Oryzias latipes: one gene and its partner. Each later gene encodes a partner of the first gene's protein in a complex. Links are inferred from orthologs where the notes say so. Each region holds a gene or a part of one and is shown in the gene's direction. Other genes may lie near its edges. The genes, in order: hbs1l and pelo.

The links.
Region 2: hbs1l (region 1) and pelo share a complex: the UniProt entries of both Homo sapiens proteins name them as parts of the pelota-HBS1L complex. The link is inferred for Oryzias latipes from reciprocal best matches to the Homo sapiens genes HBS1L and PELO.

Annotation. Positions count from the first base shown.
Region 1 is NC_019882.2:14,274,263-14,277,501, reverse strand, and holds the end of hbs1l (HBS1-like protein), read left to right. Parts: intron 1-108; coding exon 109-177; intron 178-262; coding exon 263-367; intron 368-580; coding exon 581-671; intron 672-815; coding exon 816-924; intron 925-1,130; coding exon 1,131-1,231; intron 1,232-1,633; coding exon 1,634-1,778; intron 1,779-1,850; coding exon 1,851-1,862; 3' UTR 1,863-2,588; downstream 2,589-3,239. UniProt on the Homo sapiens protein: GTPase component of the Pelota-HBS1L complex, a complex that recognizes stalled ribosomes and triggers the No-Go Decay (NGD) pathway.
Region 2 is NC_019877.2:7,505,864-7,509,414, reverse strand, and holds the end of pelo (protein pelota homolog), read left to right. Parts: intron 1-1,467; coding exon 1,468-1,499; intron 1,500-2,405; coding exon 2,406-2,500; 3' UTR 2,501-2,812; downstream 2,813-3,551. Other genes in the region: progestin and adipoQ receptor family member 4, read right to left, coding at 3,340-3,551. UniProt on the Homo sapiens protein: Component of the Pelota-HBS1L complex, a complex that recognizes stalled ribosomes and triggers the No-Go Decay (NGD) pathway.

The DNA of each region.
Region 1 (3,239 bases):
CTTAGACACTGAATGGTCACTTCTGTTTATCACAGTAATATTTGCTAGACTTTCCTGTTTTTTGGCGTTAACTTCCTCTTCTGTTGTTCTGTTTTTTCCCCTTTTCAGATGCATTCAAACCCCCTCAGAGATCTGTAGATAAACCTTTCAGACTGTCTGTCTCCGATGTGTTCAAAGGTAAAGTCAGAGCAAAAACGCTTTTTGCTAAATACTTGCTCTTAAATAAATAAATCCATTAATATATGTATATTTGTTGTTTTAGATCAGGGTTCAGGCTTTTGTGTCACCGGAAAGATCGAAGCTGGTTATATTCAAACGGGAGACAGAATACTGGCAATACCTCCCAATGAAACCTGCACAGTGAAAGGTGAACCGTTTCCTGCAAAGCTAAAGTTTCGACTGATTTGTTTTTTTTCCCTAAAGATATCTCTCACGGGTTTGTTGGCTGTTTTGAAGTAAACATGACCGATTGTGCAATGTTTTTTTGTTTTTTTTTGGTAACTCAACGATGCATCATCATGTCACAAAGGTGACATGATGTGTTGGTGAGTAACGCTGCCATCCTGTGGCTTCTCTGCAGGAATCACTCTACATGATGAAGCTCTGGACTGGGCGGTAGCTGGAGACCACATCAGCCTTACACTCACTGGAATGGACATCATCAAGATGAAGTAAAAAAAAATGGTTCAAAATGAATGAAGTAAAAAAAAAAAAGGCAAAATGGCAGAAATGATTGTGTTGTTGATGTAGAAATGTCAGGCTAGGAAATCTTCCCCTTGGAAGACTGAACCCTTTGCTTTGACTCCTCCCTGCAGTGTTGGCTGCGTTTTCTGTGACCCCAAGGAGCCCATTCGAGTCTGCACTCGATTCAAAGCCAGAATCCTCCTTTTCAATATCGAGGTTCCCATCACAAAAGGCTTTCCAGTAAGATTGTAAAAAATCAAAATGCAAAAAACTGCAAATTTAACTGAATGAAACAGTTTAGTGGAATAAACATCAAATGTACGTTTTTTTTTAACATAAAAGGTTAATGTTTTCTTACATTTAGCTGAAATTTTAATTTCTGAATGAAAAAAATTGTTTAAATTAATGTTGAAATGTGTTAACTTTTTTTTTTATTTGGGCTTTAGGTACTGTTGCACTACCAGACAGTCAGCGAGCAAGCCACCATTAGAAAACTAATAAGTGTCCTACATAAGACCAGCAGCGAAGTCCTCAATAAGAAACCAAAGTGAGTTGATGGGAATGAAACTTTTACAGCGTTTTGCAGTGTCACTTGAACGCATCGGGGTGTTCCGTTCTCCTGCTGTGCCGTTGTTGTTTGTCCTCCACTGAAACCTGGCTGCTGTGCTGCACGTCAATGCGTGGGAAGATGGAGATGTGCGTTAACCCGATGCAAACTGATGCAGCTTGTGCGTCAAATGTACATCACAAAGACCTGAGGGATTTTTTATATGAACAACTTTTATGATTTGAAAAGTAAAATAAATAGTTTAATGTTAAATGCTTAAAACATGTTGATTATTTGCACACAAGGGGTGTTAAAATGCTTTTTTCTAGTTTATTGATACTTTATTTTTTGCAGTTTCTTTCAAGAGATTTTTATTTACTTTTTATATGTCTTATTTTTAAGGTGTTTGACGAAGGGTATGAATGCCATTGTGGAGATCCAGACCCAGAGGCCGGTGCCGTTAGAGCTGTACAAGGACTACAAAGAACTGGGGCGCTTCATGCTGCGATATGTGGGCTCCACCATTGCTGCAGGAGTTGTTACAGAGGTGATTATAAAGGGTTATAATTCTGTAATTTTGGGTTGTCTTCTTTGATACATGTGCTTTTCTCTGCTGTAGATCAAGGAATGAAGAGTTTCCACCAGCACAGGGGTCAGCCGGGGTCAAAGAGTCTGACTTTTCCCTGGGTTCTGGCTGGAGCCAGAGCCTTGGAAACAACAGGAGCCGCTCGCAGACTATAGAGTGCCATTTTTATCCCTCTGTTCATCCATCCAGTGCAGATCTGCATCCGTTGTTGGCTTTAACCAACAAAAGCTGCACACACATACAACTGTAGAGTAGAATGCAAACAGAAAATTCAAAAAAAAAAGGAGGGAGAGGAGAAACAAATGAAATGCTTCTGCAAGGGAGATTTTTAGTAAAGCAGTAAAATGCACAATGAAAGGGCTAATCTTGTTTTCCTACATGATTAAGAGGTTTGAATATTTTTTATTTTGAATCAAGATGTGCCAAGAGAGTGACAGTAGTTGTTTTTGGTTTGAATTTTTGTTGTTGTTTACAAATCACATTTAATTTGGGAATCAAGAACAGTATAAAAAGGCTTAAGAGCATAATAATGCTGCACATCAATAAACAGCATCTGCAGACGTTTTGACCTTTTTAAAATGCAAAAGTACATGATTGTAATTCAGAAGAACAAAATTATTAACATGGTAAAAATACTTTATCTGGTTTCATTGTGAGATTGTTTGCCTTTCCACAAGGCACAGTCATCCAGACCACGAAGAAGAGATGAATGACGCCAAGTCTAACACTTTACCTGGGAAAATAAAGTGATTACATACTTGCAACACTTCATGGGGACTTGTTTTTCTTTTTTTTGTTTGTTCGTTTGTTTCATGTGGGTTTCACAATGATTTCTAGTTTAAAAAAACGTCACAAAGAGAAGGTTTTGTTTCTCCTACGACCCTTGAACTAAAGAAAGCTAATCAGTAATGCATTAGTATGGCAGGAAAGTCATCTTTTATTATTAAAAGAAGATTTATCATTTAATAGATTTACTAAGAAAACACCAGGAACCCATTAGCCGAGAGGGTAACCATGACTCAGCAATCAAGCTGCTTTCAAGCTTCCATTTAAAAGCCGCCCGTGGCTTCAGACAGCAGCTCTTCCCAACTTTAAAGCACAGAAAAAAAAGGTAAATCCCTTCAGGTGACCTGTAACGTCAAACTGAAATCTCAAATATAGCATGACAGTTGTGAGGTTGCAAAAGCATTTCATAATGCTGCAGGTTTGTTGGCTCAGTTTGCTGACGAAGTTTCTCTGTAAGCTGATCAGTAACTAACATTGCTTTGCTCTCACGGTTATGGTCTGACTCAGTCCATACCTTTTTTAAAGCTGCCCACAGAAATTGAATTTCAAGTTTATATATATATATATATATATATATATATATATATATATATATATATATATATATATGGATACAACTGTCACTTTACTTTGCTT
Region 2 (3,551 bases), on another chromosome or scaffold:
TCAAAAATTACTGAAAAATTAGGAATTTGAGAACAAAACAATCCTAAACAATAATAAAATGATACTAGGACACTTGGACTTTGGTCCATCCATTCCTGGGACATGTGAGATTTTCCTGGTGACCCTCAACTTATTGAAATTCATGTAAATAGTTTTGCTCAGTTGAAAATCCCCCGAGCATAATGCTTTAAGGTTAATTATGATTATGCTGTGTTTAGCCAAAATCATAAAATCTATTGTGTACTAGGACATAGTTTCTGCAGAGCGGCAGTACTTCATTAGAAGGAAAGCTTGTGGTTTATCGTTGTAGTTTCTACATCACACCAACAAGCTTTTTCCGAGGGCAAATTTTGACTGTCCGTGATTCAAAACAATAAAGAAATTCTCAAAAATGCTATTTTAAGCTTACATTTCTAACTACCGGTAAATGTCCTCCACTGTAAAAAAACAAAAACAAAAAAAACACAAGAACATGTTAAAAACACCAAAAACTGAGTCCAAGCAAGACGTTTTTGAAAGAGTTAATAATGCATTCATTCAGATTTATTAAACAGGAAAAGATTCTGTGTAAAAACTGTTTTTCTGCAGGTTTTTGCTCTGCAGTCCATAGAAAGCCATGTCATTTAACTAAAAATAACACATTTTCAAACATAGGATTAAAGTTGACACATACCAACTGGTGTAACTATTTTAAGGATTTTAAAAAGTAAAAATAATATTAGAAAGTGGCTAAACGTATTTTAAAGAGCTTTCTTCAATATTTTAAGCTGTCTTTGGATAAACTGCTGCTATAAAATTTGAAAGAACTTAGAAGCACACAATCGTGTTCAACCTTATAAGGTCTGCTGTTTACCTCATCATAAAAAGGCAGATTTAATCTGTTTTTGTGTTTATTTTACCTCAGTTAACCCTGATCCCAGGTAATAACCATGTTCCTGTAAATATCTGACTCAGATTTTTTGTTATTTTAAATTTCTGTTTGACCTCCACAGAACGTCGTCTCCCCAGCACAACCTAATATTTCCATATAAAAATATAGATTTATCTAAATATAAAGTTGTGTTTTTTTTTAAAGGTGAATAAATTTAAATAGAATCTTTTTAGAGGTCTGTCCTCCTGTCTGCCCACAGCTAATCAATGGGTAAAAATTCCCTCTGTTGGTTATTAGTCTATCCCCCACCTGACACAGTGTAGATATTTGGCCCATTTTCCCTCAAAGTGAATCAGGACTACACAACCCCTTTGTGGTTACTTGATGAACTACACCTGATTGCAGTTACTTTTGCTTTTAGGGGGACTTCAGTCTGGAAGTCAAAGTTTCTTTTTTGTTTTCCAAAGAAAATATTTACTCTTTTTTTTTTACTAATTGTTTTAAAAAAGACAATTTTACCATCAAACATTTGCTTGATGAAATCTTTCAGTGGATCAGTATAAATGTGTTTTCTCTTTGGGTTTCTTTCTGTGTAGGATATTCTCAAGCCTTCATGTGTCTGGAGAACGTAAGTATACAACTACACTAGTTTTAGAATTCAAAAAGTCTTTTAAAAGATTTTTCATTAATTTAAATGGGTTCAGTTATGCAAAAGACAGATGAACCCCCTTATGATTCTTTGTTTTACATGGTTTTCCCAATTGAAGGATTTAAATAAAACAAATTTAAGTTAAAAAGTGTAACAAATAAACTCAACGTGTCATTTTGAAATGAAAATGATTACATTTTGTATAAATTACAATGAAAACATCCAAACCCACGTGGCCTCTGTTTAAAAAAGGGATTTCCTTTATCGACTTAGCAATTAGAAACGACAACTGGAATCCGCGAAGGGACGTCTAAGGGCAGGAATGTCCAGTTTAGTTTAGTCTGTTAAGTTCAATTTAGTATTTTCTTATTGACTTCTATGTACTCATGATCCTTTTGATTTTATGTTTTACTTTTTCAATTACCATTACAAAGCCCATTGAGACGACTGTGGTGGTGAATTTGGGCTATACAAATAAAATGGAATTGAATTGAATCTGTTGTCCGAGTTAAGTGTCATGAAGGAAATCTGTGCCTTTTATTTTGGTACAATCAATGTAATTCAGACATACGAGGTTCTTTTAAGCATTACCCGCCTTTTTAAGGTTACACTACAGCATTCAAATGATATGTATGTCAGAAATTTCGGTCAGTCACTCCACTGTCTTCATCTTGTTCATGCTGCAGTGGACCTGCTGGTGGGTTTTAGATCATTTTCCCCACTGAAATCACTTTTCTGCACACACCACATGCTTAGTTTAGGCTTTATTTAGGTTTTCTAGGTTGATATTTTCCAAAATAAGAGCTGCATTGTCAACATTTTTTAATGTAATTCGGTCTTTATTTCATGAAATGCATCCTGAGCTGTGTTTTTATTGTCATTTAGAGCTGACTCAGCTGGGGGGAGTGGCTGCTATCTTGCGGTTTCCCATGGCAGACCTGTCAGAGCCGGAGGACGACAGCAGCTCAGATGAAGACTAAACTAACTCACGGGGAGGGAGGCAAAGCCGGGCCATGACGGCTGCAGAGGACATGCAGCAAATGAGCGTGTGGTTGATTATTAAACCAGCTGTGTTCCTCTTCAAACCCAACAGTTCAGATGTGTCCATTCTGAGTCAGAGGTGATTTTCTTTTATTCTGAAGTTGGCAGCAAAATATGCTAGTAGCAAGAATCTAATAGTTGCCAAATCAAAATGAAAAGAAATGGAACTTTGTAAGAACTGTAAAATCACAGGTTTTCCAAGTGTATATACGACTTTGTTCTTGCAATTAAATAACTAAAGCATGCAGTTACTTCGGTTTTACTTTGTCACATGAACATCATGCATGTATTTCATACAAATATAAAAATATATGGCATTTATTATGTACAGTTAAAACTCAGTTTAATGACCCATTTGGTCAAAAGCTGCTGCAAATATAACTAAATCAAGTATGTTCAGGAGTTTTCATTAAATACAGCAATAGTGAAGCTCAGCAGTGACAAAACTTTGGGTTCCTTTAATTCTTCTGTGGCAAAAGGCTAGATTAAAAACTTCTGGGAAGACTAAAGTGCATTATTTGAACTTCTTCCCTTAGTGCAAAGCCGTAACCCTTGTGCTATCCTAGGCACTTTAACATTGGGAGTTGGGTCATCTAGACCCCACAAAACAGTGCGCTGAACCTTTTTTCTTCAATGATTTGTGATCTTCACTGGTTTCCATGGATTACATGAAATCCTCTTCACCTTTCTCCACCTTTGTCATGGTAGGGAGAACACGTCAATGGTCTTCTTGACCCTATAGGATAGCACAAGGGTTAAGGTGAACCAGCTGCACGTGTCATCCCCCAGTAGGACACTGGAAGGACTTAATCCAGTTTAAATCTTCCATTGTGCCCCAGTGCATGTAGATAATCGAGCAGACAACCATCACATGCATTATCTGGTGGCTGTTGCCCCAGTTGTCAAACAAGCCTGGGCTAAACCGCTCTGGAATCTGGATGATGTTCACCAGTCCACCCAGCACAGCAAAAGCATCCATGATGACGAAGA